3 linked regions of the Coturnix japonica genome follow. The protein of the gene in region 2 interacts with the protein of the main gene of each other region in a biochemical or structural test. Links are inferred from orthologs where the notes say so. Each region holds a gene or a part of one and is shown on either strand. Other genes may lie near its edges. The genes, in order: MGMT, PRKCA and SLC9A3R2.

Region 1 (3,650 bases), on a different chromosome or scaffold from region 2:
GTCCAAACTGGGTAACACAGATGCACAGAGATGTGGGTAACCCATCCCTGGAGGTGTCCATACCTATGGATGCATTGCTGGGGGCAGCCAGCCCATAGGCTGTGTGTGTGTTCCCAAACGAACCCTCTGTGATTCTGCAGCTACCACGAGCCAGGCACTGACCTTGCAGCAGCATGGGGTGGTGGAAGGGTGGCAGGGGCAGCTGCTTTGTCCTGCTGGGCTCACAGAAGTAGGCGCTCAGCCAGGCTGCACACTGCTGCAGCGGCTCCGGCATGGAGGTCACATTGCCACGCAGCTCACAGCACACCGGAGCCTCCGTCCTGTGGGCAGAGATGTCAGGCTGTCAATGACGAAAGCAAACATTCATACTCTTAATGATCTCAAAAACATCTGATCCCGAGGCAAAGACTCCAAAGCTTTCTTTTTCTCTGTTGAAAGCAAGGAGAGTCATCAGAACAGTAACACAACTTCACCCACAGCACAGAATCATAGAGTCACAAGGTTGGAAAGAACCTACAAGATCATCTAGTCCAACCGTCCTCCCATTACCATCGTTACCACATCACCTCTTGATCTGCCATGGTGATGTGAAGTTGTTCAGACCTGCTGTAAGAAAATAAAGAATGGGTGAGAAGGAAAGACCACACTTAACTGGGAAATCTCAGGGAGCAATAGAAGGAAACCACCCCAGCCTGGTGGAAGACAAATCCTGGGTCTCCGTGGGGTTGGAGAGAGGTTCCTCCATGCACCCACGGGCACAGCACAGCCTCCAGAGCCCTCCTGGGGAAGGAAGAAGAGGAAGCAGCTTTCTGCAGAGCCAGCGCTTTCCTCTTCCGCCACTCCTTCCAGCGACGTTGGCAGGTTTCTGCTTTCCTCCTCTTATTGAATTGGAAGGAAGCAATTGAGAACTCATTTGATTTTCAATGGCAGCTCATGCTTTCAGGATGCTGAAGAGCAAAGCAAACGAACAGAAAGCACCCGCAAATGAAAATGTCCTTTTTCTCCAGCTGCTTTTTTCTTCTTTTTCTACAGAAGTGCAATGCCTGTATGAGAGCATGGAGAACATGAGCACCACATCTGCAGACATTCCAGCCCTGTTCTGAGCTGTAAGCCCTGGGTTAGGCACAGCAGTGGCAGGGAGGAGATCACGGTGCTCTCCTGCCTCTCTATGAGACCACTCAGAACCACATGGACTGTATTCAGCACATCTGTAACCAAACAGCCCAGGAGCATGAAACCACCTGGAGAGCAATATGGAGACAACACCAAGAGCAGCTGCCAGACCAGCAAGCCCTGCCAGCAGCCTTGTACCTGGATCTGACAAACCTCAGCTACACCATCCTGATGCATCCTGATACTGCAGCTTTTCTTTTCCCCCAGCTGGAAATGCATCTGGAGCCCCAAACAAGTTCTGCTGGTGAAACTCAACAAAACAGTGTGCTGCAATTGGTTGGATGTGTCACAAAGGGGTAGAAATGAGAGAAAACTGCAGAAATAGCAGAATACATGAGGGACAGCAAGAGAAAACCACAGCAATTCTGCCATAGAGTTGTGGGGAAAATGTAAAATCAACTCACTGCTATGCTCGAGATGTATCACAATGGAGAGGAAATCCTTTCTCAGTTACCTCCTAGCAGAAAGCCTGAGAAAATGAACTGCATCGTGTACCAGTAATGGCATAAAAGACACCAGGCCTGCTTTTGCCACAAGGCACCTTTACAAAAAGACCCAATGCCTTCAGATGCTTCATCCACAAAAGCCGACGGAGCCGAGCACACCAGGACAGCCGTGTAATCAGGCAGCCACCCGGCCCTGCCTCCGGATAGCACAAATGATGTGCAGGCAGGAGCTGTCCCGGGGTTACTCTCGGAAGCAGAACTCTCGCTTGTCTGCTGTGTGATCAAACGGCCCTGCAATTTTCCCCCAGCCCCAATTCGTTTTCTGATTAATTGTTAACCACTGAAGGCCACGTAATTACTGATTAGAAAGTGGCAGAGAAGAAGGGGGACACGGAGGCGGACAATTAAAATTCTCCAGCAGTAGAAGAATATGACAAGTTGATGGCTTGGAGTGGAGGAAAAAGGGAAAGGAAGAACCAGCTTTGGATCTAGTTTGCTTGAAATTAAGTGCAGTCCTCCATCCCCTTCCATTATCAATTTGCTTTATGAAACCGATCTCTACTTTATGTTTCTTTGCTTCTTAGTAATCTCTTTTCTAGGAAAACAAACAAACAAAAACACAGGTGTGAGAATCACAGAACCATAGAACAGCCTGGGCTGCAAAGGCCCACAGTGCTCATCCAGCTCCAACCCCCTGCTGTGTGCAGGGTCACCAACCAGCAGCCCAGGCTGCCCAGAGCCACATCCAGCCTGGACAATCTGTGTATAAACATTCCCAGATGAATATGTGCATGACACAGACCTCAAGCCAAGCTCCCAGCACCAAGGATCATCAGTGATTCCGCACACGCACGATGCTCAGCAGAATAGGGCTCAGTTTTACTGTGGATTGTTAGAGCTACGACAATATCATAACTACAGAATATAATAATGCCTCTGAAATCTCCAAGAGAAGTTGGGAGACTTTTCTGCTCCATTTATCCAGAAGAGCATAGAAAGCACTCAGCACTACAGCAACCTTATGGTTTTCACATCATCTTGCTTCACATACTCGGGAGCCTGGAAATGATTTGGGCTATAATACTGCTGTAAAAGCAAAGGAATACATCCCCTCATGGCTCTGCAGCAGCAGCCCACGAGCTGTGCCTGCTTGCCTGCAGCACTGCAGCCTGCAAGGCCTGCCCATGCCCTGCTTCAAGCAGGAGCCATCAGCCCCCATCACTGCCATTATCCCATCATTTTGCCATCTCCACACCTCTGATTTCTGCTTACTGCCACAAGTCATGAAAACCAAAGCTCTTGTGATGCCCCATCTGCAGTGCTGCTTCCAGGCCTGGGGCCCCCAGCACAGGAAGGACATGAAGTGGGTCCAGAGGTGGGTGCTAAGATGCTCAGAGGGCTGGAGCAGCTCTCCTCTCCAAGTATGCAAGTATGGTGTCCAAGTATTGCCTGTCCTGTAGGATACAAAGTTGATTCACCAACATACATGCTGAGAAGTTCTCTGTGGCAGAAGTGTGAAAACACTTTATCTTATTTTGCTTGGTTAGAAACACTAACAACCACTCCTGAGACTGGACAGCACTAACAAAGAAAAAGACAGAACATCATTAATGCAAAGGCACCTCCTAGCAGCCCTACTCCCCTCCTGCTCCTCCTCCTCCTCCTGAAGTTGCATGGCAGAACTCCTTCTGCAAACTGCCTCGTCATTAAAAATTCAACTTAAAACACCAGCTGCCTCTAAAAGCCTTTTCTGAGGCTTCAAAGCCACACTTTGGTCCGACTAAACCACATGTACATTTCAAAAACCAAGGCTAAAGAGGTTACGGGAAAGTGTTCTCCCTCTGCTCAGCATTCGGTTTCCTTCTCAACACCCCATTCCACCCATGAATCATGATTGGCTGCTGCTGGGTGCTACCTGGAGTCTCACTATGGCCCCATTCCTGGTTTATTTTTACCTGGTCACTGAGTAATTGTTGCTTTTTGAAGTTGGTTGTTTTCACGCAGCTGAGATCTGCCCTGTGAGGTTCCTGT
Region 2 (3,650 bases):
CATACCTGTAGAAATACAAACAGTACCATCCACAGAGCATCCAGAGCTACAGCTATGAGCATGTGTGAAATGCATGTTCTGACAGCTGATAATTGAGAAGTAAGATGCTTGAAATGGTGAATATTTACCTCTGGTGCAATGTAGTCTGGGGTGCCACAGAAGGTCCTGGTTGTTACTCCATCTAACATATGTTCTTTGCACATTCCAAAGTCAGCAATCTTAATGTGTCCTTCTGAATCCAACATCACATTATCCAATTTCAGATCTCTGTAAAGAATCAGAGTAATTCAATGTTAACATTTAGGATCATTTTCATTTACATGTTCAAGTTTTCAGTTGAACTGGGTAGAGCACAGAAAAGCTCATGTAAAGCTGAGGCTGAGGGGTTGGTTTACAGTGAAACAACACCAGAATGGCACTTCTGTGGTTATTTCTAGAAAATTTCTAGGAATTCACTGATTAGTCAAAGAAATTGACCATTTTGGGGTTTAAAAATAGTGCAAAAATTACTTACAACAGACTGTACTCACCGATAAACAATCCCTCTATTATGGAGGAAGAATAACCCAACTGAGATCTCAGCTGCATAGAACCTGTGTGAAGAGAAAAAGCCCAAGGATTTCTTATTACCTCATCATTTCCCCCTGACAAAATACTTTGGAAATGCCCCGTGGTAAATAGTGATAACATTAAAGTATAAAAAACATATATTATAGGCAGAGGATGTAACAGGCACCTTACTCCCAATTGACTTCAATGGATAAATTTAACTTCAAGTATTTCATGACAAAATAGGGCAGATTTTCATTTTTTAATTGAAAATTTGTTTCTATAACAGAGAGAAGAAGGTGCAGCTGGAGCACAGCACTCCTACTGCACCAATCAGACACAGGTCATTATCTCTAATCACATACCAATGCTGAGTTCAGGATGCAGCTCAATTTACACTGCAATTCATATGGCATTAAATCATTTGCAGAAAGAGCATTCCTTTATACAGGCTCTTAATGGATTAATTACATAATTAAAATGATGGCAATATGAAATAGAATTGTTGAACATAGTAAAAGAATATACAGTATTGATGGATGTTTGATGCCGGTTGCTGTGGATCTGCAGAAATTATAGGGAAGAGGATTATCTAAAGACAAGACTATTTTTTAGACTAGCATAAAGAAAATGAAAGGTTAGCTCTGAAACCAGAGCTGTTTGCAGACGTGTGCTGGAATATGCTCCACAGCCACAAGTTGTCATAAAGCTCTATCGTTTTCAACAGGTGTTGGGCATGGTACATGAGCTGGGAGCCAAAGATGTTCTGACACCACTGTGTTTTTCTTTAGGGAGTTGCCGACGTTTTGTTTTATATCTCAGGGTTTCTATCTGGAAGGCCTTTCATTTAACCAAGCCCTGATTACTTAAATCTAAATAAGAAATTATTTCCGTGGATTTCTTAAACAGAATTGGTTACGCTTGATTTGAAAGTTTCATTGGTAAATGATTCATGAAACACTAATAAATGATGATGAGATGTTATAAACACGACTAAAATGGCACTGATGTTCTGTCTGCTCATCTTGAAATATGCTACATATCATTATCAGCTACTCACTGATACACCAGATGTACGATGACCCGAAAGGGACTTTGTGCATAAACAACTCCTCATCATTTCCTGACTTCTCACAGATAAAACTTCTATAAAATGCAGCATCACAGAACTTCTCATAAGCTGCACACTGAAATATCTTCTGTAAACCATACTGCAATGTCGAGTGTGTTTCTTTCCCTATAATATCTCTTTCCCTATAATATTAATTCAGACTTAAAGGATAGGCTGATAAGAGATATCTAACTCTGTTACAGCGTAAAAAGATCATTACATGATTTAAATATATAAAAATGAACACTCACACTGCTTGTGGCTCCTTAAATTTTCCTACTTGCTGAATGTGGTACATGAGATCCCCACCATTCACATACTCCATAACAAAATACAGGCGGTCCTAGGATAAAGTATTAAACATGCACATAAACACATTGGGCACAATAACAGGTAAGCACTGATCAGGAATAAAGCATTTAAGGTTATTGGGACTGGTTGTACATTCTGGCAAAACTGATCTATCAGGAAATGGAAGTGGCATGTTCTGTAAAGCCTGCAGGAGTAAATGACTGATGGGAGCTGTCTAGTTTTGCCAATGTTAGTGACTCACGTTTATGTATTCGTTGCCTACATTGTTCCCATAATTACTCACACATAGTTTTGTCTGCTAAAAATAAATGTCCAAAAAGCATTAAATGTGGTTAAAAATCTTTGTCTTCAGCCTATTTCTGATGCTTCCTAATAAATTTAGATAAATGCATCAATATATATACTTCTGATAATTAAAAATAGACAAGAAAAGATGTCACAGGGTTTACAAAAGTATCTCGCATTTCCACCAGTGATACTAAATTCCTTTCTCACCTTATTCGAGATAAAGAAAGACTGCAATAAAGTATTTTGCAGGGTGATTTATCTTGATAAGTGAAGAATTTTAAAGCCCGCATCCAGGTATCTTAAGTGAAACATGACTACAACATATCTGAGTATTTATGTAGTATTTTCCCACAGTGACCTTAAATGAGACTTAAGCAATATATGTCTGTCCACCATTTTTCAGAGGACTAAAATTGACCTTTTCCAAGTTCCTGGGTATCTCATTCTTCACTGTTTCCTGTGTGTAGATGCTGTGATATACTACGATTGGATGATAATAAAGTTTATTGAACTGACATAATTCAGCATCACATATTATGAAAAACACCACTGCTGCAAGGAAGAGAGCTCACGTACAACTGTTTGGAAACAAGAGTGAAGCTGTGTTAGGAATGGTGGTTTATCCTGCAGTGCTAGCACTCGCTTTTCAACCATCGTGCACTCAACATCATCATCCTGTATCACCACATCTTTTTTCAGTATTTTGATTGCATAGAGCTCCTCTGTATTCTTCCTGTCCGCCAGCATCACCTGCACAAAAAGAAACAGGAGTGAAAATCTTCCTACCTGCCAATGGAGAAGGTGACTCACATGCCTAGTGAGCTGTATAGAGGCAATCCAGCTTGCCCTTTCATAGGTACAGACCAACTTGATCAAAACACCAAAAATAACATCATTACTCACCCACTGCAATGAGCTGTATCAGTCATTTCAGACAAAGCCAGAGCCAAAACCCCAATGTGAATTGCAGACACATTGCCCCAGGGCTGATAAGATGTTAAGTCCCAGGGGACTTCTTCAGTAAAGGGCACATCACCATATAAATGGGTGTTAAACTAGCCAGAAAAATAGCAGTCCTTTCTTTCCACTAACACACTGCAAACATATATACTATCTGTGATACTTCCCAGATATTCAGCCCTACCAAAGTTGGTGACTTCCAGAAGTGGCAGAGTAACCTAGGGAGCAAAGCCAGAAAGGGAGAGCTGATTTCCTTGGAACTGCTTAAAAGTGAGGATTTAAAAGTTCGTTTCTTACACCCTGACCAATAGTGTGAGGCTTTTCTCTCTAATTTGCTCTTGAAAAAGCAGTCCCCAACCATGACTGAAGCCTGCTAGTCCCTAAGGAATCGCCCTACTCTGCATTAAAAACGCTCCTTTTAAAGTACACT
Region 3 (3,650 bases), on a different chromosome or scaffold from region 2:
TTCCCCTGGCTCCAAACTCCTGCCCAGCAGTATGATGGATCTGATGGAAAAGGGCACAGGACTGGGCCTGGATTCAGCATCACGCTTCCCAGCTGAGCATCACATCCCTTCTGCACTCCAGCTCCTCATTTCCAGGAGGATTCATGTTGGTAGGACCCAAAAATGCAACAAAAGAGCCCCAAAGCTCCATGCTGCATGTGCTGTTACCTCCACCAGGCGGTCCTGGGGCCGCAGACCTGCTCTGGATGCTGGTGAGTCAGGGTCAACCGAGCGGATGAACTGCCCTGGGCGGGACTTCTCACTGTGCAGGTTGAAGCCATAACCATTGGGACCTTTCTTCAGGTGGCAGAGGCGCGGACACAGCTCTTTCTGTCCATTTAAATCCTGATTTAAAAAAGAAAGATGATGGGGGGTGGTTACGCGGGGGGAGAGGATAAGATATTGTGTTTGATTTATCGGCTTGGTTTTGTTCTGAATCAGAATTAAGTTGAGAAGGAAGCAACATATCTGCACACCATCCCCTCCTTCCAGCTCAATGGGGACAGGTTAACAAATGGATTTCCTCTCATTGAGTTTATTTTAGAAAACTGATTGTCCAAAACCACTCCAGAGAAATTGAAACAACAACAACAAAAAATGCATTTCCTCAGCCAACAGCAGCCCAGACCCACCCACCCCCCCCCCCACCACCACCACCTTAACTCCCAGCACTGATTGATGTTAGCACCGTGCCTGGCTCCCAGTGACTCCAACACGGCTCAAGGCTTCATCCTCACCTTGCTACTCATCCCTCCCTGCAGGGATGTTCTGAGCAAGCTGGGTGATGCCCAGATCTGGAGCTGCATCTTTGGCCACTCTGGGGATGGCACCAGGGGATGGGCAGCCCTGTCCTGCAACCAGCTCAAAAATGATCATGCAGAACTGGGAGTACTGAGCCAACAGGGCAGAGAGGGATCATCTGTGTGCCCACCTGGAGCCATGTGGCACAGCTGCTCTGCAGTCACTTAGCAGTGAGCCTATGGAAACATTGATCTGGGCAGAGTGGGAAAGCCCTACAGAAGTCTTTGCAGAGAGGAAGCATCAACCCTGCACATGGTGCTGCCCAAGGTGCCCACAGCACGTCCAGGCTGAGCTCGCTGCAAATATTAGCAGAGCACGTGAGGGCTTTGGTGCTTCACCTCTATCACGTGCAAAATGTTTTATGGTTCCTTGGGGCTAACAGGAAGCAGCACACAGCAGGTTTTATCCCACTGCTGTTCTCGTGCACCAGGCACAGTGGCACAGCCATGTCCTGGGCAGGAGCTGCTAAGAAACAGAAGTGCCTTCGGGGCTTTTTTAGGGGGTCTATGGTTTAAGGAAAACATTTCCTGCAGCTGAGTTTTGAATCTGCATTGAAAGCAACACTGCTCCCACCTGCTATCAGACCTCAGGTATCTATCTATCAGTAGGACGATCTCTTACAACCTTACATTTAAAATAATAAAAACATGTGAGAATTTCCCCAATGTTCCCAACCAAAACAAAAAAAAATGCTGGTAATGAATCCCCATCCCCCAGCTAAAGGCAACTGGTAGAAGTGGATGGGGATCTCCTTTGGGTACTTCTACCCAAGAAACACACAGGGCTCCCTTTACCCCTATAAATCCACTCAGCAGTGACCCCTCCATGCTCATTTTCCCCAGAGGAAAAGCCCCCATACAGCACACACAGTGTGCAGTGCTCGGGGCTCACTGCAGGCTCAGCCCTGCGTTCCCATGCCCCCGCGCTGTGGGTTCACCCCATCTGCAAACACTTCCAGCTCTGCGACAGCCGAGGAAAACAGGAAATGATTCAATGCTGGAGCGGGCTCGGTGCGACCTCAAGGGATGCACAGGGCTGTAAGTGCTGGGAACAGGGGCTGCAGAAAGGAACACATCCAGAATCACCTAGTGGGGCTTAGAAATAACCTTTATGGGCCATTTTACTCCAGTTTTAAGCATTCACGGCTCCAGCAGTGGTTCCAAAGCACCAGTCACCAAATGAGCACAGTACCAACAAGCAGGACTTAAGGCTCTACCAGCATCATCCCTAAAATAAACTGCACAGAAACTGCTTGGGAGAGGACTTCTGCAGCAGCTTTGTGGGGTACCCAGCACTGTGCCCTGTGTGGGTATGCTCTGCTCCCACCACCACATCCTGAAGCCAAGATCCACCACTGAGATGATTCAAAATCGTTCTCGTTTCAGCCCCAGCATCAGCTCCAGAGCTCCCCAGAAAGACCTGTCTGAGTGCTGCCACTGCTCCCAGTGCTCCCAGCAGCGGCTGTCTTCAGCTTCTGGAACACATAGGGCTCCAACAAACTCCTCTGGGACTGAGCAAACCCTCTGCTCAGCCTCAAGCACATGATGAAGCCCTCTGCACCGATGCACTCTATTCCTCCTGCCAGCTCTGCTATTCATTCACTTCACAACCTGTGCCAACATTTCCCTGTCATGTGCTAGGAAGAAGTTTCCTGAGCTCCCAGGGGTGTTCTGCCTTTGGGGCACCCCAACCACACTCCTCCAGATCCCACCTGACCTCAAAGACCCACAGACACTCCATTCCTTCCCATAGCTGCACTCACACGCTGCAAAGCCAACAAAAAATGACCTTGTATTTCTCTCTTCGCACGCAATCAGCAATCTTCTTTGGGGGCATCCAGATGCTACAGCACCCACTGATCTCATACATGGGATTAAAAAGCCATGGATGTCACATTTGCCCTATATTGCTGCTCTGTGCACACACCCACTGGTACAGATGTGTCTGTGCAGATAAGAGCTGCACCAACACAAAGCTGCAGTGCCACAGCTCCAGGCACAACTCCACCATACCAGAAGGAAGCCGTGCATTAAAAAGGCACAAACAAGACATTAAGTAACAATGAAACACTTCCAATTAAAAAGGGGAAAATTAAATAAATAAATAAATCTGTTTAGACGTTGCCAGTTCTCATGATCTCATTGCAACACCTGAGGTTTCCAACACCACCATCCCCAAGTTTGGACCGGGGGCTGTGGGAGAAGCATCCCACCCTGCAACAAAGCCCATCTGCCCCCACGGAACTCCCAGAACTCATCATGTCTTCATGCAATGGGGCTCACCCTGCCGGGATGCTCAGAATTGAATACTGGTTTAGCATCACCCTCCAGCCACCCACACTTTGTAGGTGAACACTAAAGGCTAAAACCCCTTAAGAATCCACACTATAGGGGTTATCCCAGAAACACAGCATTGGATCCAGCATGGATGATGGATCCAGAATGAGGATGGAGCACACTTGTATCACTCCCCTGGAAAGGGACAAAAATGATGGAGCTCCTCAGTGCCAGGGGGCCTTAGCACAAGCCCCCAGCCTCATGACCACAAGCTCTTTTTATCTGATGCAGTCAAACCATCCACTGCTACAGGAGCTGGATACCCTCCAAGTGCAGATTTCCCCATGACACATCCAGCTTTTCCACCTCTCCTTCAGTGGAGTTGGAGAAAACACAGGCAGGATCACTCCTGCCTAATTTGCATTGCTCACATACTTTCTTTCAAGCCAGCCCCCATGGTGTTTACCCTCTCCTTTTTGCAGGCAGTTTTGGTCAGAAAATGCTCACTTTGCTCACCTGCTTTGCTCTCACCCT

Evidence for each region.
Region 1: of the proteins of PRKCA (region 2) and MGMT, one has a biochemical effect on the other in vitro, tested with the Homo sapiens proteins (2 studies listed by BioGRID). The link is inferred for Coturnix japonica from reciprocal best matches to the Homo sapiens genes PRKCA and MGMT.
Region 3: the proteins of PRKCA (region 2) and SLC9A3R2 form a complex in vitro, tested with the Homo sapiens proteins (2 studies listed by BioGRID and IntAct, with this or other methods). The link is inferred for Coturnix japonica from reciprocal best matches to the Homo sapiens genes PRKCA and NHERF2.

What each region holds. Positions count from the first base shown.
Region 1 is NC_029521.1:30,303,767-30,307,416, reverse strand, and holds part of MGMT (methylated-DNA--protein-cysteine methyltransferase), read right to left. Parts: intron 321-3,650; coding exon 163-320; intron 1-162. UniProt on the Homo sapiens protein: Involved in the cellular defense against the biological effects of O6-methylguanine (O6-MeG) and O4-methylthymine (O4-MeT) in DNA. Repairs the methylated nucleobase in DNA by stoichiometrically transferring the methyl group to a cysteine residue in the enzyme.
Region 2 is NC_029533.1:6,864,284-6,867,933, reverse strand, and holds part of PRKCA (protein kinase C alpha type), read right to left. Parts: intron 3,011-3,650; coding exon 2,837-3,010; intron 2,004-2,836; coding exon 1,912-2,003; intron 594-1,911; coding exon 531-593; intron 268-530; coding exon 129-267; intron 1-128. UniProt on the Homo sapiens protein: Calcium-activated, phospholipid- and diacylglycerol (DAG)-dependent serine/threonine-protein kinase that is involved in positive and negative regulation of cell proliferation, apoptosis, differentiation, migration and adhesion, tumorigenesis, cardiac hypertrophy, angiogenesis, platelet function and inflammation, by directly phosphorylating targets such as RAF1, BCL2, CSPG4, TNNT2/CTNT, or activating signaling cascade involving MAPK1/3 (ERK1/2) and RAP1GAP.
Region 3 is NC_029529.1:6,206,038-6,209,687, reverse strand, and holds part of SLC9A3R2 (Na(+)/H(+) exchange regulatory cofactor NHE-RF2), read right to left. Parts: intron 385-3,650; coding exon 208-384; intron 1-207.